Linked DNA regions of Xenopus tropicalis. The protein of the gene in region 3 purifies or fractionates together with the protein of the main gene of each other region. This does not show direct contact. Links are inferred from orthologs where the notes say so. Each region holds a gene or a part of one and is shown on either strand. Other genes may lie near its edges.

Region 1 (7,473 bases), on a different chromosome or scaffold from region 3:
ATATGTGTGTGTACATTTTTGGGGGTAGAGTTTTTCTGCATCACCGCTACTTTCTTTTCCCTCTGTGCCTTGGTCCTTATATCTGTGCAGAATACATTTGCTACACTTTATTCTGCCCCAGCTGGGTTCCTGGCCTATGGGTTGCCATGTACGCATGGCTGGCTTGCTGCAACAGATGTCAGACCCCCTGAATATTTTATAAGTGAAACAGACTGTGAGCGGCAGCAAAGATGAACACATGAATAATGTAGGAGTTTTGGCGGGTTTGCCGGTACAACCATTACTTGGCTGGAATAAAACTATTCGTATAAGGTTCTTCCCTGTTTCTGGTAGATGTATATTGTTTTATTGGAATGCCAATGGCCTTGAGTTCTTGCTTAGACGGACAAGACAAAAATTTTAATTTGATACTGTGAAGAGGTGCTTTGCTTTCTGCTTATTTTAACTTTGCCTAAGACCTGTTGCCAGCCATTGCATCATAATGTGGTTTTATGCAGACCCATGGTCCAACAGTCCAGTTGCTTAGACTTAATTCTGCTAGATACCAAGGTCCAGTGAGCTGCTGTCCATCTGGAAGCGCCAAATTGGCAACTTATTGGTCTTTGTATGGATAGCTTAAGATATGTTGTTGTTGTTCTAGAACCCAAGCCAGGTTCCCATATTAAAATAGTAGAACATTATTTTTGCCCTTTGCCAACACAGAACACTCAAGAATACTTTAGTCCTCTAGACTTTGCCTGGGTTCACGTTAGCAACCAGAGGTGCCATTCTATCTTTTTAGCTGGATTCCGGAAAGCATGGTGTTGACCGCGCATCTTCAGATCTCAAATCCGCCCTGAAGCGAGAGAGGGAGGAGCACCAGCACCTCCTTGCCGAGTCCTACAGTGCAGTCATGGACCTCACCAAGCAGCTTCAGGTCAACGAGAAAAACTGGGCCCAAGAAAAAGAGGAGCTCCTCAATCGGTTCCAAGATGAACGCAAACTTGCCGACCAGCAGATGCGGGAGCTGCAGAAGAAACTTAAACAGGTGAGGGCTCAGCTGGCATCTAATCTATGAGGGAGAATTCTTGGGCCTGTGCTGAAGGGTTCTGGGAATTGAAATGAATTGACTGCAACTCCGGTGGCCAGATCTGCCTTGTGATATCTCAATCATATGATACGATATGTGTCGCAGTCACAATCGCGCATGATTTGCTAACCGTTTCATTCAACCTACTTGTTCTTAGAAATGGAAGGTGCCATTAGTTTACAGAGCTTTTGGAAATTATTTGTTTCCTTCTTTGGAGAAATTAGTTTTTACCAACTTTTTATTTAGTTGAAATTAAATACATTTGTTCCCCAAAAAGGCAGTCTTGTTCAAATGCAGGCTAATCCCTGCTTAGTGCTGCTTGCTGCCCCCCCATATCTAACCGTAACCTCATTTTGCTTGAATTGAGTTTATAGAATAGATCCAAATGATGCAAATCCTTTATCCCCCCCGCAGCACAAATGACTGTGTATCCAGTACTTGCTGGAAGGAAAATTCTGACTCCAAAACAAAGTATAAATAGTTTGTGGGATGGTGGCGCTGAGTGGAATCATATTCTTATCTCTTGTAGCATTACAGGCAACAGAACAGCCAGAGAGGCCTCATTATCTTGCTGGTATAAAAATAGAAATGTGGAGCTGGAGAGAGTAACTGCTTGGGCATATAATGTAGCCTTCTATCCTGCTCTATCCCGAATAAGTTAGATGTTAAACAGGTTGTGTAGAAAGCAGTTTTCTTAAAAAAATAAATAAATAAATGCATTTGAATGTATAGTTTTTTCTTTTGTTACTGAAGTATAGAATTTCAACTGCTATCTAATTGCTAAGGCTTTGTTATCCTAGCAGTCAGGCAGCAGTTGAAAAATCATAACGAATCAGTGGGAGAGGTATACATAGTACTGCAATTCTGCCCATATATATATATATATATATATATATATATATATATATATAATATATATATGTGTGTGTAAATGCAAAAATAGAAATGTTTATTACTTGATGTTTCGGTCTCACACAGAAACGTTCATCTGGAGTCATCTTGTTTTTCACTCCAGATGAAGGTTTCTGTGTGAGACTGAAACGTCTATTTTCTATTTTGGCATTTACATTTTGCTCACAATTCTTTGAATCCTAGGAGTGCTGTCCTTGTTCCAGTATATATATATAATATAGTTCATCTAAATGTTCAGGAGCAAATGTTGATCTGGGGGATTTCTGCATATATATAATATATATATATATAAAACTGAAACAGCCTTGATTACTACAGACTAATGAAATAGTGCCCTCTAGTGGCCAAAGTATCAACATTTACAATCTAATTAATTAATGATGAGCGAATTTTTTTTGCCAGGCATGGTTTTGCAGTGAAATTACGCATGTCACCATTGGCAAATTGTTTTGCCACAAAAAATTTGCGGGCATGTAAAAAAAGGCACACTTGTGCAAGTACCTGCATTTTGCTGATTTTTCCCAGTTTCGTTAATTTCTTTGCCAAATCAAAACGGGACGGATCACTAGTTATAACAAACATATAGAATCCTATAATAATATCCTCTCCAGCACCAACATACCCTGATCCTATTCATGGGGCTTGTAGATTATAAGTGCATTTTTTTTGCATCCATTACCCCACAGCAACCAATTAGGAAATGGCTATTACTATTCTATAAAACTGTGCCTTTGCCATGTGTATACCATATAACAGTACCTGTTTTATATTGACTGCAGAAGGAAGCAGATTCCTGGGTGAAAAAAGAACCTGAGAGGAGGAGCAGCTGCTGGAAAGAGGTGAGCAAGTTGGTATTCTCCTGCTGTATTTTCTATGGCAGGTACATGGGCTTCAGTTTGCCCACCCCTTGCTTAGGGGCCAGTCCATCCTACAGTTAGTCCTACGCTGATGCTTTAGCATTTATTGTTTATATTTTTAAGGGTAAATATCACACACCTGAGAATAGTTCTCTACTTTTCAAGCCCAATAAACTGCCTATATAGTACCCCCACTGAGCTTATTCTATTTGGGTTCTTAAAACTGGGAGCCTCCATATATATTAATTGCAATACAACTCCCAGCATGCATCTACCATGGGATCCTGGGAGTTGTAGTTTAAAGCAAATACAAGTGGCAGTTTCCAGGCCTAACAAATGTAGGTGCATTCCTACGCTTTTAAACGGCACAAATATTGTTGCATGTGCTGCTTTCCCTTGCTATAAAAGGCTTCTCTTGCATCAAGCAGGGGCTTCAAAAATAGATCCTTCCACCACAGAACATCCTCTCACTTATCAAGCTGTTGCTTTTGAACCATCGGACATGCTTGTTTTGTGTAGATAAATTGAAATCAACCCAAATGCATAATTTGTCCCCCCCAACCCTCTGGTTCGGCTGCCTATTCCAGATGGCTTGTGGCATAGAGAAATAAAACAACCTTGCTTTTGGGCAGCTCTAGCTAATTGTCAGGGGAGTGTGTGGCCTGACCCCAAACAGCTGCCACCTACATTGAAAGACTATGGTAACTCTATAGTTCCACAGCTGCTCTCAGACATGCCTCTTAACCCTTTCATTCCTACAGCGAAAAAGATGCATCTTATTGAATCTGCATGCATATCTGCCTTTACTTTCCAAGTGCCAGTTTGCCAAGCGTGTAATAAATAAGCCCACCTAAAGGTGCCCATACACGGGCCAATTCTAGCTGCCGATATGGCTCCCTTAGACTGATTCGGCAGCTAATCGGCCCGTGTATGGGCACTACCGACGGGACTGCCCAACCGATATCTGGCCTGAAATTGACCAGATCTCGATCCGGCAGGTTTAAAAATCTAGTCGGATCGAAGACCGCATCAGTTTGTTGATGCGGTCCCCAAACCGACTGCCCCATTGCCGCCAATATAATTTGATCGTTTGGCCCATTAGCCCACACGTTCCCGATATCGCCCACCCCGTAGATGGGGATATTGGGTGAAGATCCACTCGCTTGGCGATCTCACCAAGCGAGTGAATCTTCACGTGTATGAGGACCCTTAAGTTTGCCGAGATGCAATAACCCATAGCAACCAATCAACAGGTAATATTTACTGGCCACTTGTTTAAAACCAAACATTTCATTGGTTGTTCATAGGTTACTGCACCTGGGCAAACACTTTTTATTACAGCTTTATGTAAGGGGGTTATAAGTAGGGTTTTGTGACTTTGTTCTCATGTCAAAGAGCATGATGCCAACAGATATGCCTTCCCATATAAATCCTGTGCTTGTTTTACCCTAGGCTGTCAGCAATAAACTTCAGGACAAAGACATTGACTGTGACTGTGACTGTGACTCCGATGCCAGTGTGACCAGCTTAAAAAGGTAAGGTGTATTGGTACTGCTGTTTAGCCATTCCTGTACTTTGTAACCTTCATCCATTGAGCCCTTGTACCAGTATCAGTTAGTTTGTCTTTGGTGTGTGTGGTGTCTTTGGTGTGTATGATTTAAAGGAATTGTTCAGTATAAAAATGAAAATAGATAGACTGTGCAAAATAAAAAATGTTTTCAATGTAGTTAGCACTAAATGTAATCCATAAGGGCTGGCTAACATACCAGCCAGGACTTGGCTTCCTCCTTTGCAGCTCTCTAACCTATTAAATGTCAGTAACCAATCAATGACTTGAGGGGTAGATATATGGGACATAACCGTTTGCTTTGGAATCTGACCTGGGTGCTAAGAATCAAAAGCAAACTAAGTGAACAGTTATGTCCCATGTGGCCCCCCCTCAAGTCGCTAACAAACTAAGAGGTTGTAGAGCTGAAAGTTGGAAGTTGGGTTCTGGCTATTATGTTAAGGTCCCCATACACGTGAAGATTCGCTCGCTTGGCGAGAGTGCCAAGCGTGCAGATCTTCGCCCAATATTCCCACCTACTGGTGGGCGATATCGGGAACGTGTAGGCTAATTTGATCGCTTTGCCCTGGGGCCAAACGATCAAATTATATTGGCGGCAATGAGCAGTCGGTTCGGGTACCGCATCAACGAGCCAATGCGGTCCCCGATCCGACTGAATCTTTTAAAATTTAACGATATCTGGCCATTTCAGGCCAGATATCAGTCGGGCAGGCCCCTCGTTTCTGCCCCTACACGGGCCGATAAGCTGCCAAATTGGTCCAAGGGACCAATATCGGCAGCTACAATTGGCCCGTGTATGGGGACCTTTAGATATCCACTCATTCCAGCCTTTATAGATTACATTTTTGGTTAACTATGAACAAGAACAACATTATTTTTTTTTATCTATTTACCCAGTTTTATTTTGACACTGAACTGTTCCTTTAATCGGTTGCTTATGTAGAAAATGTGTCTGAATATAAAAGTTGAATATAAAAATATAGCATTTCACTTCCTGTTCAATTTTGCTTTAGGACCAAATCTGTATCTTCCATGTCAGAGTTTGAAAGTTTACTCGATTGTTCCCCCTTTCTGCACGACAACACATCCTCTGCTAATGGCGAAAATGCCAATGAGAGGAGAGGTCTACCAGCTTCTACACTCTTGGTCAACGGTTCTAAAAACTCAGAAAAACATTGTTCATATGAGGGTAATGACAATTCCCTGGCCGGACATCTTCCCAAGGGTAACCTGGTGATCTCATCCTGGGATTATACGATGGCCAAGGCTGATAATCGTGTGGATGGGCAGAAGCACATACAGAGAAGCTACACGGCGCCAGACAAGACAGGCATTCGGATTTATTATAGCCCACCAGTGGTTCGGAGGCTCGATGTGCCTTTGGTCCAAAATAAAGAGGATAAACTCATGGTAGAAACGGGATTCCTGTTTACCATGGCCAAACCAAAAGAATCAGAAAAATCAGACGGGTTATCTGGGAATTCGTATAGCCGCTGGCTTTGTAATTTCTCCAAAAAGCAGCGGGATTTGTTGGATGGCGATTCAGTAAAAGACTCTTCTTCTGTCCCAGGGTTTCCATCTTCCCTCGGGGATTTGGAGATTTCTGGTAACATGAGCGATGATATGAAAGAAATCACAAATTGTGTTCGACAGGCGATTCGCTCTAGCTCCTTAGAAAGGAAACCAAAGAGTACAGCAAGTCAGACTGTTGGGCTGTCCAGTGTTGGTGTTCAGACTGTTCAGATGGTTAGTGTTGGTCTTCAAACCGATCCCACTAGATCAAGCCTAACATCAAAAAGCTGGTCACCAAGGAGTTCTTCTCTGCTGTCTACTAGGACCAAACACATTTCAACATCTTTGGACAAAGTTCATTCAAGAATAGATCGGCCTTGCTGCTCTCCCAAGTATGGGTCCCCTAAGCTCCAGAGAAGGTTATCTTCCAAACTAGATGGGTCCAAGGATCGGAGCTTGTGGAATCTGCACCAGAATAAACAAAACGGTTCAGCTTGGGCAAGATCGACAACAACTCGGGACAGCCCTGTCCTCAGTAACATCAACGATGGATCATCTAGTTTGTTCAACGTGGTTGATCATGCTGGAAGTACTGAATCTATCTGCAGATTGGGCCTCGGAGAAAGCAGAAGCAAATCTGATACTCCTAAGTACGGTATTGTGCAGGAGTTCTTTAGGAATGTGTGTGGCCGAACATCCCAAAGCTCCAGTGCTGTGTCTGAGAAGAAAGAAGCAGAAGACTGCAACAAACGACCTGATAACCATGACCACTGTTCTTCTGTTTGTCACTCCACTTATAATGTGTCTAAACTACTGAGCAAGAAGGTACCAAGGCAGCACACCAGTGATGAACAGAAGGGAAGTCCTAAGGACTCTGAGGTTATTGCTACATCTACTAATGAAGTAAGTGCCATTTCTAGCTTTCTTTAGTCACTTGTGATGCCGTTTCTTTGTTAACCTAAAATAAGTCCTCAACTGTTGCTATAAAAATTACTGACACTGGCCTTTCTATGGGCTGTAAAGCACTGGGTAAAAAACAAATGTTTAACAGACACTCACAGACCTATTTCAGTGGAGGTTAAGGTTTACTAGACATGGATGAAACTATGCACCTGTTGTAGCAATACTATTTTAGCTGCCATTTATTGACCATAATTCTCATTGAATGTGTCATATGGTATAACCAGATCAGCGAAAGCAAAACATGCCTAAATGCAAGGCATTCATCATAAAACCTACTTATTAGCTTCTGTTGAGGACCTTCTGACAGAGACATTTGTTTATTTTGAGATCGTTGTATCTGTTTTGGGTCTCCTATTGATCTTTACTTTATATCTGCAGGATTATGCCTGTAATTGCAGCTCACAACCCCTCACGTCCTGCTTCTCCAGGCCATCGCGGCCTCAATCGCGCCAAGCCCAATACAAGTGCCAGCTCCACCCAGACCCAACCGTCCCAGAAGACAAAGCGGGCCCTGCCTCTAATTGAAGAGAAATGTCAGTCCCTGCTATCCTGTGTTCCTGTTTACCACCCAGAAGCCATTTTGCTCCTGCGTT
Region 2 (7,473 bases), on a different chromosome or scaffold from region 3:
CAAATTTCTTAGCCATGATAATAGGCAGGGAGGTACCCATCCAGTGCATTACTGCTGTCCAGAACCTAAAGACATGCGGACATGACTAGATCGTATGAAAATAGTTAGCAGATCTTTTTCAGATCAGTGATCTATTTGGGCGGGAGCCATCTGTGGAGCAATTGAGGGGGTCATACACGTTCAGATTTTAGTCTTCTTCCGGCGAACATTTGGATATCAATTGTATGTTTAAATGCAACAATCTAAAACTAACATTCAGGACTGATAAAGCCCTAAAAATAGCAACTCACAGATTGTTCTGAACATGAAATAAATGCCAAACACTACTTGTACGAAAGTGACTTCCTGTAAATGCATTGTAGGTCCCCCAAGGATATCGTCAGATACACAGTATATGCGCAGATTTTAATGTTATCTGACCGAAATTTCCTAACCTGTTTAATTGACTAAATAACCGATCGCCATGTTGTGAAAATTATCAGGATGATAATTTGGAGCCCACACATGGTCCTAAAATAGCACAAAACTATGTTTCTTTTGATTATATTGGTGCATGTATGGCAAGCTTTAGTGGCGTGATATAAAGGTGGCAAACGTTTTGTACTGTATTAGCTTACCTATGATGGAGATAAGGCAATTATACATAGTGTCAGTTGCCTCTTCCCAATCATTTTGAGCGAACTTTGGTATTTGGAAAGACCATTATTTCCCTGCCGAATAAAAGGCTTTGGGGCCTGTTAAGAGCAGGTTTTGGTATAAGCCTGGTGAATGCATATTTTATTGAAGATATGCACTTTAAAGGTATACTGTCAGGATTTTTATGGTATACTTTTTATTTGTAAATTACACTGTTTACATAGGAAAGAATTCACCCTACCATTTATTTAAACTTTTATTCATGAAACCAACAAATGTATTTTTTTAGTTGTTATATTGTTGTGTCTTACTACTGAGTGCTATTCTGATATTTACTGGGAGCTGCTATCTTGCTACCCTCCCATTGTTCTGCTGATCAGCTGCTGGGAGGGAAAGAGAGGGGGTGATTTTACCCCCACTTGCAGCTCAGCAGTTTGACTGAAGTTTGTCAGAGCACAGGTCACATGACTGTGTCATCCTGGGAAATGAAGAATATGGCTAGCCCTGTGTGAAATTTAAAATTAAAAAAAACTGTTGCAGGATTCTGCTGGAGAAATTCTGTTAACTGATACATTTTCCCATGACAGTATTCCTTTAAGGATAAGAAATATGAAGGCATTAGTCTCATTGCACTTTCTTAAAAAACAGTAGTGCACATCTCCCTGCCCTTGTGCTGCCATTCCTTTTTAGCAAACTAACCACTCATGTACAAAGATGAACAAACTAAATTGGAGAGCGGCATTGAATCTTTCACGTGAATTTCCAGTTCACATATCGGAGTGAGGTGAAAGAATCTGTTGTAAAAATATGATTCCCCTGCATCATATTTAATAAATGATAACAGAAAATGTTTTTAGGCAGTGCACATTTGCCAAACGATTTGAAGTTTAATATTAAATATATGTTGAACATAAGCTAATTGTGAAGTGTCAGCAATTGCAGCATTATAAGCAAATTATTGTCACTTACACATTGCTTTACTTACAATTATATTTTAAAAGGTATTTCTGATCGTGATTTTTAATTTGCACTTTTTTTTCCAACAGACTATCTACTCTCTAATAACCATGTAAACTCAATCATCGTCCACAAATTTGACTTCTCTGATGAAGAGATTATGGGTTATTATATTTGCTTTCTAAAAACCCTTTCTGTGAAACTTAACAATCACACAGTCCATTTCTTTTACAATGAGGTACGTAGTTCTCTATTGTGGATTTATTATAACAATGCCAGTATTTGTGTCTTTTGTATATTTGGATAAATATAGGTGTGCACTGGCATTTTATTGCAACCAAATGTATGTATTTCTTTTTAAAATTTTGTGTAATATGTGTGTGCATTATATAGTTACATAGTTTATTTGGGTTGGAAAAAAGACAAAATCCATGTTCAGTCTCTTCAAATGAACCCCAGTGCACATGTAACACATACATAAACGGCTATCTGTACACACAAACATATAAACTATATATGATACCTATTCTGAACTAACCATTTCCGGTTGTCTTGGATATTATGCTTGTTCAAAGTAATCATCCAAGCCACTCTTAAAGGCATTAATAGAATCTGCCCTCGCAACATCACCCTGCAGGGCATATCTCTGCACTCACCATGAAGAACCACCTACACTGCTTCAAATGAAACTTAATTTCCTTAGTCTAAAGGGGTGGCCTCCCATTCTTTGATCTTTTCTAAGAGTGGAATGATTCCCTGCTATCATTCTAAAATGTCTTCTAAAGAGGAATCCTGTCCCATTGCAAGTGCTTTTTCTCCAGAGAAAACAACCCCAAACTTTACAATCTTTTCTTTAATTCCCTTTTTTATCCAAGACAGAGGCTACTAAAGTAATTCAAGTACTATGTGACACTTCCTAGAGGTACACAGCTTGTTGTCCACAAAAATCCCCAAATCCTTCTCAATTAAGGATGCTCCAAAACACTGCTATTTAATTTGTTTGCCATTTGTTATTTCTACCAAAATGCAACTAACCTTGCACTTACCAACATTGAATCCCCATTTGCTGCCAATTTCTCCATTGTAGTAAAATCGCTGTGCAAAGTGGAGGCATCCTGCATGAATAGAGACACTGCTTAAAGGAGAAGGAAAGGCATTTTGGAATTTTACTGCAAATAGATTAGCCACATCAGTGCCAACTATATTTAATTTGTAGAAAGCTTTACCATACCTGAGTGAGCAGCCCTAGAAGCTCCATCTGTTTGCTTAAGACAGCAGCTGCCATTTTAGTTTGGTCTTGGTAGCTTCCTTGCTGAAGTTGTAGCTGCTGGTAGCTCAGATCACACATTCTGATGGGAGTGGGAGTGAATTCTTATGGAAGGGGGGCACAGGAGAAGGGAGAGAAGATAGAGCTGTGCAGACTCTGGCCCCGGGAATAAAGGATTTTCCTGAGGGAAGAAGTCCGCTATCCTAAGGACATGTTTACAAAAAAGGAGACAAGAAATCATGTATTTCTTTTGCAGCCTTACTGTGCTTATGACTATATTTACATAGACCTTTCTGATAAAGCTTATTTAGTTTTTACCTTTCATTCTCCTTTAAAATGCCCACCACCAGGTTAAAAAACCAAGGACAGACCCTGCAGTTCTCCACTAACAACACTGTCTAGTTAGAATATGTTCCATTTACCTCTACTTTTTGTAATCAATCCAGGGGTCATTTGGGAAACTGGGCAGGAAGTTTTGACCCAGGCAGCCCTTCAGAAAACAGGGCTGTCCGGGTCAAAACCGGACAGGTGGCAACCCTAGGTTTTGCTCACCTCCAAGTAGAAAGCAATTAAATTAGTGTGGCAAGATCTAATATGCATAAAATTATGCTGACATGATTGTGATTTGCAGTGTTTTAAGGCATTTTTTTGTATTCAGTGTATTCAAGTGTCTTGTACTTTATTAGCAACATCAATTGGAGGAGAAATGGCACGCACTCCTTGGTCCACTAAAACTTGTCTTTATTATAAGGATCTTAAAACAAAAAAGGTCCTGACGCGTTTCTTATACAAAAGATACGTAGTCATAGGCACATACAAATGTCGTGTGTTGGAGGTGGAGGGTCCGGAGTTTATACACCCGGACCACACAATTTACGGGGTGAGCTTATCACTTAATTTATAATTAGTTTTGGTGGAGAGCCTGGAGATGATACACCTGTGCTCACATTTAAATGGTTTTAGAAAGTGTTCACTAACTTTTTTTTTCCCCCATCCTGTTACTGCATAACTGAGCCACTTACTTTTTAGGATTGATGTTTGTACTTTATTACCCCTTCAAAATCTTTCCTACCACCGATTTTAAACTAACAGGCCTATAGTTTCAGGCTGAGCACAGGATCCTTTTTTAAATAGTTGAAATTTGCCAGTCTTTCAGCACCATGCCAGACCTCAGAGAATACTGAAAAATTAAGTAAAGAGGTTTGGCTAAGCTCTTTTAAAGGAGAAGGAAAGGTAAAATCACTGGGGGTGCCCTGTGATTGTAATTGCTTACCTTACACCCTGGGTTGGTGCTTTTGTTAGGAGAAAACCACACAAGCCCGGGGTAGCTGAGAATGAGCAATCCTCTTCTCTTTCTCAACTATCTTCAGAATCCAGGGGGTGGCGCAGGTGTGCCAATTTGTTGCCGCAACTTTTTAAAAAAATTAATTTGTTGTGCCAACTAGTACATTAACCTGGGGCAGCAAAATCGAAACGATTAGTTGCTGCAGCCAAGGTTTTTACAAGTAACGGCGACTAATCACCACCTTGTGTCCTCGCCCCAACTCTCTTCAAAAATTAAACTCATATACTGCCTCTGAAGCACTGGCATAACATCTAAGTCAGTCTTGGCAATACCTAAACCACTGTACAGTAAAGCGCTTATTATTTGTGTTTGTAAGTTCCTCTTGTGTTTCTTAACACTTAGCATTAAATATGAAGTGTAATGGTATGTAGTTATTTATCTGTTCTTGTATTTTTACATGTTTTATAAATGTATTGTTGAATGTACATTGCTGCCTATCTGCATATATCTATACAACTTGACTTTTTTGTGCTGCGTTTCCCAGCATTCAAGCTAGTAACTGCACGGGACCACAGGCATATACTGCTTGGCTCTTTGGAGACAATAGGGTAAAAAAAAAAACTAAAGTGTGTTTTTGTTTTGGTATAAAAATTATTTTCCAGATTAGTAAATGCTTTTGCTTCATCTTCTGCTTAATTTAGTAATGGAAGTATATTGTTGGTTTTTCAGCACACCAATGATTTTGCTCTGTACACAGAGGCCATTAAATTTTTCAACCATCCAGAGCATATGGTCAGAATTGCAGTGCGAAACATTACTTTAAATATCTACAAAGGTAAGTATGTGTTTGCTTTTGTATTAAAGCGCTACAAAACTAGATGGGAGACATTTATAAGAAAGATTTATAAGATAAAGATTTGATTTTGCAAATACAGCAGCAAGTCTTACCCTAAATTGTTAACCAGAGCTACTATTCTCTTTAATGGTTTAACACGCTGAACTGCAATAGCATAGTTGTACAGCAGAGGTCACTGTTGTATTTTATTAGCATTTATAGCAATCACTGTAGATTTGTATGACAGGCTTGATGTGCAGTCTGTCTCTTGGTCACTCTTATATAAAAAAAAACAAGTGTACATACTCCTACAAAGGCCTTACCAGAATGTTAGCTAATATCTGCTCATGCCTTTTATTATATTATTATTATTATATTTTTCTAATGCATGACTATTACTTGAGCACAAATTGCATTTCTTACCCTTTACCTGGTGCTATAAATATGGATTAAAAATATAAAACTGGCTGTTGTCCAGTAATATCTCTTTAGCTTCAGCAATAGTTGTGGGTTGGTTAAAAACCAATGTATGCAAGTAGATTAAAGGTTAACTATACCCCCAGAATGAATACTTAACCAACAGTTCATATATGTTAAGTGATGTATTAAAGCAGTGGTCCCCAACTTTTTATTGTGCCAAGGGCCGATGGCAAGCAGGTAAATTTTTCCAAGGACCAGGGGGTGGGGGGGCGGGATGCGCGCAGTGTTCATTCATGCCTTTATACGTGAGGCGCATTCAACTACATCTTTATACGTACAGGCTTTCCTACGAGCCTCTATATGTGTGGCGCGTTGGTCTGCACCTCTAAACCCCCATGTCTTTATAGGCGCAACACTTTTATACGCGCATATTCAGCGCGGCCAGGAACAGAGGCGGCCCACTAGAAAGCAGCCCGCGGACTGGCGGTTGGGGACCCCTGTATTAAAGAATCTCCCCACACTGGAATATTGCCCTTTTACATCCTTTCCCTTGATCCACCATTTAGTGATGGGCTGTGTGTTCCCTCAGAGATCACATGACCAGAAATAATGCAGCTCTAACTGTAATAGGAAGAAGTGTGGAAGCAAAAGGCAGAACTCTGTCCATTAATTGGCTGATGGGGCCTAGCATGTATGTGTGTGCCTTGGCTTGTTTGTGTGCACTGTGAATCCTATGGGCCCAGGAGGCACCAATTTTCTGTTAAGGAGTAGCCAATAGTACATACTACTAAAAAAAGTATATTTTTATGAAAATGGTTTATTTAGATGAAGCAGGGTTTTACTATGCAATGAGATTTTTTATGCAATATATTTTTTTATAGAGAGCTATATTGTTCTCAAGTGGACAAGTAGACATGGAACATTCTTTAATTTAGATGCCATTGTGCAGTAACAATGACAGAGTACTAATTGAATACATTATGCTTTGATTGCAGTGTAGAAGCACTAAGTATTTAGAATTTGAACCTAAGCGCATCTCCAGTTTTTCCCTGTCATCCTTTGAAAAATAAAAATAGCCTTTCTGTTTACAGGTTAAAAAAAAAAAAAAAAAGCAAAGACAACAGTTACTAGAAAGCTGCATTTTCAGCATTGTGCTTTACCCCAGCTGCCATCAGCAAAAGATGTCCTTCTTAGGTGTTTAAAATCTTAGACTTGATGTTTTGCAACTAAGTGGGTTACAGAGCATATTCCATCAGTCAGTAAATGGAGAGAGCAGCCCAGAGCCAAGTACCAAGTCCAATATAGCAGCTCTCTGGCTTGTGTTACAGGAATTTATTTTGCCACTAACATCGTTAACATCAATGCGGGAGCACCATAATTGAAACGTTTGATGTTAGTAAATGCTTATCTGTGATGCAGCAACATGATTCTGTTAACAACTCAACAGTTATTTTGATTGGCTTCCTTTCAATATTTGTCTTTGTTACAAAATGCTCTTTTGTATATATGCTAAGTAAATACACAGTTAGTTTAGAAAAGTCTACTACATGTTACAGAGCAAAAGCTGCAAAATATAGAATATACACAGATCACTTTTGTTCTTTTATCCGAATCTTACTGTTGCTAGGCCTTTGTTATACAGTCGTATAAAAGAATATTCTGCTCCCTGTTTCCATTTTCCAGCTCTATGTGCTACTTACTAAGCTTTCATTTATGATTTTTACTTAATGAAGGGCATCAGTCTTCTCGGTTGCTGATCTGTTTACTCTTTTTTTTTTCTTTTCCCTCCTCCTTTGCTTTCCTCCACTGTTGATCTTCGCGTGCCATAACAGTGTCATGTAAGTGTTACAAATAATTAAATTTTTCTTTGTATTACTATTTGTCTTGCAAATATTAGAACCTGTAATTTTCATTTTGAAAAATGAGAAAAGCTGTTATTTTTAGAACCTTTTTTAGAGAAGTAATTGGGAGGGGGGGGCTTAGTATGCAGTGGTGGGGACATTTTTAGATGTAGCATTAATGTCATGATGGTACTTCCTGCAGTAAAGAAGCTACATGGACCATAATTCTGCA
Region 3 (8,101 bases):
TGTTGCATATCCCTTGTATGCAATGGCTGCCTAAAGGCTGTGATTCATAGACATCACCAGTCGCTGAGTATCTTTTCTGGTGATGCTCTACCAAGCCTCTACTGCAGCCGCCTTCAACTCCTGTTTGTTCCGGGGGCTTGTACCTTTGTCTCTTTAAGTTTCCACTTTAGCATATGGAAGTCATGCTTAGCTGGATTTAAATCAGGTGACTGGCTTGGCCATTCAAGAATTTTCCATTTTTTAACTTTGAAAAAAATCCTGTGTTGCCTTAGCAGTATATTTGGGATCATTTTCTTGTTGCAGGATGAGTTTGGAGGCATTTACTGGAACCTGGGCTTGGGAGCAACATGTTGCTCATCACCCCCATTGATGTTGCTGCCAGTGGCCTCAATATAAATTCCGATTTTTTACGGAGACATAATTTTACTCCAAGTAGGCTGGCAGTCCACGTGAGGCTACCAAATAGCAAATCTAACTTTTTTTATGCTTGTGTGGCTCAACAACACTTTTTACTGTACATCTAAGTGTGGCTCACAAATATAAAAATGTTGGGGTTCCCTGGTCTATGGCAACTCGATTTTTATTAAGTAAAATATATACATGAGAAAGAATTCCATAGATTTCACTATTAAAAAACTTCCCAAATCACAAGAATGACGTGCCTTGGCTGGATTCAATTGTTATTTGTGGTAATATTTGTGTTATATTGCTTGCAAATTTCCTGAAATGTCCTACTTAGAGAAAACATAATAAAATACACATTTGCTTGGCTAGAATAATTTTTTCTAAGTACTTGTGAGTATATTCTATTAAAGGACATGTCAACCTCAAAAATAATTTTTTGCCTAATAAAAAAAAACAAAAACTTAATTCTAAGCATCTCTGCAATATGCATTCATTACAAATTCATTATAACGGATATTAGAAGTAGTGTTAGCCAGTCCCGGTGGCTCTGACATTTGAAACAACATAACACAAGCAGCAGACTGACAGACCTGTATTGCTGGAGGAGCCTGGTATTTGCAACATTGTTTAAAAATTAACAACCAGGAGCTCAGCAAATGTTGCTTTAATAACTTTTAAAGTACTAATCATTTTTAATAAATTCATATTGGAAAGTTGCTTAGAATGATGTGTTATTTTATTCGGCAATACATTATATTTGGGGTTGACATGTTCTTTAAGCACTGCAGCCTAATTATCATTTATATGGACAGAGTCTTGTGGCAGACACTAGCAATTTGTTAGGGCAAAACCCTTTGTACTACCAACACCCCTATTAGATCACCAGTGCCTACTCATAATTCATCTATTTGTCCAGGGAGGGAATTCCACATGGCACCATTTAAACAAATAAACACAATTTTTGCCTAATAAAAGAAAATTCAATTCTAAGAAAATTTCTGTTGTAAATTTGTTATAAATGTCATAGGTTTTAAAGTTATTTGAAAATGTAATTGCTACTGAGAGAAGGGGTCGTCTCTTCCTTTCTGTCTGACTCTTGAAACAATGTAGCAGAAGTGCTTGCGTTCATCAGGCTTCTGCTACATTGTTTCAAAAATCAGAACCTGCAGGAAAGAGAATATAAGTAGGCAGATAGCTGCTTTTAGGAGTAATTCCATGTTTCAATGACTTTTAATACCAATAGATATTTGTAATGAATGCATATTGTAAAGTTGTTTAGAATGACTATTTCTTTCATTAGGTGAAAGGACGGTATTATTAAGGCAATTTAGGCATCGGGGAACTCAGTATCCAGCGGTTCTTCCTATCAAGGGCCAAACCGCAGAACCCCAGGAGCTTTCACAGCCACTCAGTATTTGAGCCCATACCTTGCTATAGACAGAACGCTAGCTCGACCCGCACAGCATCCCCAGCCGAGAGGTACTGCAGCCTTATCCGCACACACTCCACACTAGCTTCTCGCCGCTTACAGGAAGTAGTCGAGCTGGTCTGACCTATAGGCGCCCGAACACTGACACAATGAGCCAATCAAATGGCGCACCTTCTTCTATTAACCAATAAACGATTATATGTTGCGCAAGTCAATGATTTTAGCTGTTAATAATAGGGCGCGGCCCAGGCTACGGGCGGAGCTATTCCAGGAGACTGCAAATGCCAAGAGATAGAACAAGTGAAGATTTCTCTGTGAGGGCGCGGAGTTATCATTACGTAGCTTATTCGCGTTGCTTTACTCAAACCCAATACTCAGTCATTCACAGAAGCTTCTTGGTTAATAGGTAAAATGACTTTTCTGGCTGAGTTAAGCAATGTTTGTAATATAAGTAATAACAACATAAAGACTAAGCATCATGAGCAAGTAAACTACAAATAACACTCATGTCATGCACTGCATATTGTACCCCTATTACACCACATAAATGGTAAAATCCAAAATGGCGGATCCACACCTCCTGAGAATGTGACGTAGAGAAACAATTGACTAGCAACTAGAGTCCGATTGGACGCAGGCATATTTACGTCAACATCCAAGGAATGAGTTTAAAGGTTCTCCCCTGTTCCGGAGCACCTCGGTATCTCCCGCCTCCACTCACTTTTGTCCCTTGCAGGTAATTGGTCAACAAGACTGGAGGTCCCGCCCATTTGTTTAATTTCTTTTTCTTGATTGGTTTTTATAAGCTGCCTGTTACGAAAGTGGGTGGGGCCTGCGGTAGGTTGCGTAGCAGCATCCGTAGAGCGCTGTGGACGGTGGTGGCGTCAGCTGCTGATAGGGGGAAGTAGGGAGACCTAGTGCCCGGGCGTCAGAGACCCCCGCCCCGGGACAGGCGGCGTCTGGTCTGTCGGGGCCGGGGCTCGTCACGGTAAGCGTTTGCGTAGTAGAATTCATAAATTCTTCATTAGAAGCAAGAGCTGCGAGGCCACCTAGGCAAATAAATCAACGAAGCAGGTGCTGAGGCGTCTGTGTGCAGTGTGTATGACAGTGGTGTGCAACCTGCGGCCCTCTCCTACTTATTCAGCTGCGTTTTTTGGAACTGTTCCAACTTGTAGTTCAGCATTGTCCGCAGGGCCACACTATTTGCACCTTTGAAGGCTCAGTGTGGGTCTCTGGGGAAGGCGCTGCCAGTACTGTAGGTATCTGAACTGTGTTCATTGAATGTGTTGCTCCTTTTAGATACAGCTGCCTGATTGGGCTGGGATATAGCACGTACCAATGGCCAAGTCACAACTACTGACCTGTCATTTGCCTTTACAGGAGTGTGGGCTCTGTAGGTCAGTGCTATTCTAAACACCCCAATGATGGGGGGACATTTGCTATTAGCTGGAACTAGTTTTGGGCTTGTGTCTGAATGGTAACCCCGAACATTTTCTATGATTACCCCAACAACATATATATATATATATATATATATTGTATAAAATATGTATCCCTTCTGCTTCTGACTTGTGTGGCCCTCCTGCTGTTTACAGAAGTTCAGTATATGAGAAAGAGAGGGTAGTTGTACTCATGGTTGTATTTGTATATATCCGCATCAAGCTGGACTTTCATTGGCACCCTTCACTTTTAGAGAGTTAGTTATGCTCTGGCCTTCAGTTATTGTTGTTTTACTACTTCCAGCAGCCCATATGTTGCCATTTGTATCTAAACTGCAGGGTATGGCTGCAGGTTCTGTGGAGGGTGGGAAAAATATTAGGTTTTTCCTTTAAAATAAAACTATGGTACATTATGTATCTTGGAAAACATACTGTACATATTTTGTTTTGGGTGGTAGCTTTTGGCAGTTGTTTTTTTGGTGAATAACTGTTATCTTTATTTGATTTCTGTGAAAACCTGGTGCTGTATGATGTACCCCATCACATAATGTAAAAAAAACAATAGATGAGAGTTTCTGAACCTTTTGGTCTGGTGAACCAGATTAAGTCTGGAAGTTGTTTTTACAATCCAATGATTAGTTGAAATTTATTCGTGAACCCCATTGTGACTTATTGTTGAAGACATTCCAATGTATGAAGGACATCGGGTAAGTAACCTAAATAGCATTTGTGCAGTTTTTTGGGTCCGGTTCTACAGTTTAAGAATCCCTAGAATATATACTACAATTAAGGCTTGGGCTTTACATGTAACTGTTGTAATGTCGGAATTGCATTTGGTGCAGCTGTGCAAAAGGCTTTAATCTTGCTATACCTGCCTTAGGCTGATGCCACACGTGGCGTTTTTACGCTGCGTATTTTCTAATTCTTAAAAACGCCCGATATCATCATCCATAGAAATAACTTGAAAAGACTTGAAGCAAACCACACAATGCAGAAATACGCTAGAAAACGCCTTAGCACGGATTTTTCAAGCGTTGACCGAAATACGCCAGTATTTGCACAGCAAGCTATTCCTATGTATACACAAAGGCAGCTGCCAGACCTAGCGGAAATACGTGGCGTTTTTTACTATTTCGCACTATTAGCACCATGGAAACGGGATTTGCTACGTCACCAGTACTAGGCTGAAAAACGCCATAGTCAGGGGCTGTGTGGCTTGTACGGCGTTTTGAGGCTGAGAAAAAATGCCACGTGTGGCATCAGCCTTAGATTTGGTCAGGCTGTTTGGCGCATTTTGCATGTTTGTCAGCTGAGGGGCCAGTTTCAGTAGACCTTGAAATCCTCTTGGATTGCAGGTGATCTGTCCAAACTAAAAACTTTGTGTGCTGATGTGCCTTGTCTACTTCTGTATGGTGCACCTGCAATGGAGGAAATGAAGAAGACCACATAATAAGGCAATCCCTGTGTATGGTCAGTTGTACAGTATCTCTTTTTTTGGCTCACTGTCTGTCTGAATGGATCACCCAACCCCCCCCCCCCCCCCCGGGTTATGAGCACTTTTAGGCCTTATTCGTGCTAGATGTTTTTTAATCTGTATAATTTTTGTATACATTACTTACTAATTTTAAATGATTTAAGGTTATGTGTACATTTCACTCCTATTAAAAGCTGTTTCTTTCTTTTGGTATGGGCATTCAGATACTTTTGACTATGCAGTGTGTACCTTATTTCTAAGTAGTGTTCTTTTAATCTTCTTTTCCCATAAATGAACTGTAAAGTTTATGGAGAAGTCACACAAACTATTTTTAACTTATTGCATATGTCTGGGAAACTACCCCTTGGGGCTCTGAAAAGATTTGGATGTTTTTTTATTGCTGTCTATGGATTATGAAACAGCTGACTAATGAAAGGCGGCTGTTCTCACTCATGAAAACTAGTAAGCAGGATATCCTAAAGAACCAGTAACAGCAATGAATTAGTCCCATGTCCATTTATGTATCATGTACAATTACTCTACATGTTTAAACAACTGTTGTTTGCATCAAGTGTAGTAATACAATTTAATGTATAATTTTAGTGGTAAGTTCACCGTCCTATATGTTCCATGTTGCATTGACCCATTTATTTATTACAAGCACTGGAAGTGAAGTCGTGTGCTTTATTACAGGAGTGCAGAATGGAATGAGATCTGATGTAGGTTGGTATCAAAAGGGCTGTGCCCCCAGCACAGGAAGCTTTAGGTGAGAAGTTGTGTGACAGAGTTTATGGTAAAGGCTTTACATGTAGACATTTCACATATTAAGTCCAATCATTGTAAGTCAGATTTGAAAGTAAACTTTATGGCCCGGTTGTGAAGTATTCAGGAAACCAGTTAGCAGTTGTACATACAGAACGTGACCATATAAATGAGCAATTTCTAAAGAGGTGCAAGAAGGAAAGCCTTTACTTTTATTGTAACTCAAATGTTTCTGCATTGTACCTTTGTTCTTTTTCACTTCTTGTAAGAGGACACTAGTAAGGTGAGGTTTCTTACATAAGCATTGCCTCAGAAATAACTGGTTACAACTGCAGAACACGGAATAAGTATGTGTATGCTACATAAAGATAATTATATTTTTGTTTCTTTACAAAAATGGCAACCACTTTATGCTTCTTCAGCACTCATATTTTAATTTATTTACTAAAGAGGCTGGGGCAGATTTACCAAAGCACGAATTCGAATCCCGAATGGCAAAAAAAAAAAAAGTTGCGACGGCGATGAAAAAGTTGCCGAAAATACGAAAAAGGCGCAACGGCGATGAAAAAGTTGCAAAAATACAGATTATTACGAAAAAAACGCATTGGGACCGTTTGTGGATTAGTAAATGTGCCCCGCAGTATAATTTCCCTAGAAAAAATTCAGGCAAACAATCTTGGAAACATGCAGTGCTGCCAAAATTGACCTTCAAGTTTGTTATAAAGATAAAAGCATTGATATAGCAACCATTACTGCTTTTGTCGATATGAAGTTATTTATCATCTACAGTTGCAAGAAAAAGTATGTGAACCCTTTGGAATTGTATGGATTTCTGCTCAAATTGGTCATAAAATGTTATCTGATCTTCATCTCAATAGACAATCACAGTCTGCTTAAACTAATACCACACAAAAAATTAAATGTTTCCATGCTTTTATTGAACACACCATGTAAACATTCACAGTGCAGGTGGAAAAAGTATGTGAACCCTTGGATTTAATAACTGGTTGAACCTCCTTTGCCAGCAATAACTTCAATTAAACGTTTCCTGTAGTTGCAGATCAGACGTGCACAACAGTCAGGAGTAATTCTTGACCATTCCTCTTTACAGAACTGTTTCAGTTCAGCAATATTCTTGGGATGTCTGGTGTAAATCGCATTCTTGAGGTCATGCCCCAGCATCTCAATCGGGGTTGAGGTCAGGACTCTGACTGGGCCACTCCAGAAGGCATATTTTCTTCTGTTTAAGCCATTCTGTTGTTGATTTACTTCTATGCTTTGGGTCGTTGTCCTGTTGCAACACCCATCTTCTGCTGAGCTTCAGCTGGTGGACAGATGGCCATAAGTTCTCCTGCAAAATGTCTTGATAAACTTGGGAATTCATTTTTCCTTTGATGATAGCAATCTGTCCAGGCCCTGACGCAGCAAAGCAGCCCCAAATCATGATGCCCCCACCACCATACTTCACAGTTGGGATGAGGTTTTGATGTTGCTGTGCCGTGCCTCTTTTTCTTCACACATAGTGTTGTGTGTTTCTTCCAAACAACTCAACTTTGGTTTCATCTGTCCACAGAATATTTTGCCAGTACTGCTGTGGAACATCCAGGTGCTCTTTTGCAAACTTTAAATGTGCAGCAAAGTTTTTTTTGGACAGCAGTGGATTCGACCGAATACCAATCCAAATCCTAATTAGCATATGATAATTAGGATTTGGAAGGAGATTTTTTTCCCCCCTAACATTTAACCCTTCCAAATCCTAATTAGCATATGCTAATTTGGTTCGGCCAGGACTGTGGATTCGGCTGAACCCTGCCGAATACCGAACTGAATACTGGATTTGGTGCATCCCTAGTAAATTTACATTATCATTTTAATCAGTGACTTTGACATTCTGCTCATAGAACAGCTTGCCTGTATCACAGCCAGAAGTAAGATGATGAAGGCTGGGCTCAGATGTAGAGTTTCTTATGGCATTTAAATACCGTGAGTAAGTCTTAAATCCATGACTGCATTCCTTTGTGGCTTTAGCACGATGCGATGAGCCAGTGTCATCTGAGAATCTGGGCCCTAAATTCTGAAGGCTGCGTTCCTCTTGTGTGACGCTGATGTACCAAGTCCATTTCTGGCCTATAGCCTGCCCTTAGTGTTCCTTACTGCTCAAATAACATTATGATAGCTGGAGTTGCAGCCAGCTGTGGATGTTATGAGTGTTAACTGTACGGTGGCTCAAAGCAATATTAGTGTGTTTATTGTCCACCATTAAAAAGTAATTTTCTTTTCTTTATTTCTTGACTAAGTCTTTTTTCTGTAATAATTAAACAGAACCTTGTTCTTTACCCCAAGATATAATTAATTCTTATTGGAGGCAAATCAATTTTGTTTGTTTCATTTATTTAAAGTTTCAATAATAATTTAGCAGACTTAAAGGAGAAGGAAAGGCTATGTCACTTGGGGGTGCCAAAATTTTAGGCACTCCCAAGTTACTTAAATCGCTTATCTTGTACCCCGGGCTGGTGCCCCTGTTAGGAGAAAACCGCACCAGCCTGGGGTAGCTGTAGCGAGCGGTTCCTTCTTCTGCGGCAAAATCCCTGG

The links. The genes of interacting proteins can lie anywhere in the genome.
Region 1: the proteins of rnf41 (region 3) and soga1 purify together in Homo sapiens (affinity purification with mass spectrometry; 3 studies listed by BioGRID and IntAct, with this or other methods). This does not show direct contact. The link is inferred for Xenopus tropicalis from reciprocal best matches to the Homo sapiens genes RNF41 and MTCL2.
Region 2: the proteins of rnf41 (region 3) and clec16a purify together in Homo sapiens (affinity purification with mass spectrometry; 3 studies listed by BioGRID and IntAct, with this or other methods). This does not show direct contact. The link is inferred for Xenopus tropicalis from reciprocal best matches to the Homo sapiens genes RNF41 and CLEC16A.

What each region holds. Positions count from the first base shown.
Region 1 is NC_030686.2:43,215,760-43,223,232, reverse strand, and holds part of soga1 (protein SOGA1), read left to right. Parts: intron 1-781; coding exon 782-1,027; intron 1,028-2,760; coding exon 2,761-2,820; intron 2,821-4,290; coding exon 4,291-4,373; intron 4,374-5,418; coding exon 5,419-6,820; intron 6,821-7,258; coding exon 7,259-7,405; 3' UTR 7,406-7,473. UniProt on the Homo sapiens protein: Microtubule-associated factor that enables integration of the centrosomal and Golgi-associated microtubules on the Golgi membrane, supporting directional migration. Preferentially acts on the perinuclear microtubules accumulated around the Golgi.
Region 2 is NC_030685.2:36,907,215-36,914,687, reverse strand, and holds part of clec16a (protein CLEC16A), read left to right. Parts: intron 1-1,682; coding exon 1,683-1,831; intron 1,832-4,874; coding exon 4,875-4,980; intron 4,981-7,232; coding exon 7,233-7,238; intron 7,239-7,473. UniProt on the Homo sapiens protein: Regulator of mitophagy through the upstream regulation of the RNF41/NRDP1-PRKN pathway. Mitophagy is a selective form of autophagy necessary for mitochondrial quality control.
Region 3 is NC_030678.2:137,438,334-137,446,434, forward strand, and holds the start of rnf41 (E3 ubiquitin-protein ligase NRDP1), read left to right. Parts: upstream 1-2,152; 5' UTR 2,153-2,240; intron 2,241-2,411; exon of another isoform or gene 2,412-2,570; intron 2,571-2,655; exon of another isoform or gene 2,656-2,822; intron 2,823-2,951; exon of another isoform or gene 2,952-3,089; intron 3,090-5,440; exon of another isoform or gene 5,441-5,513; intron 5,514-8,101. UniProt on the Homo sapiens protein: Acts as E3 ubiquitin-protein ligase and regulates the degradation of target proteins. Polyubiquitinates MYD88. Negatively regulates MYD88-dependent production of pro-inflammatory cytokines.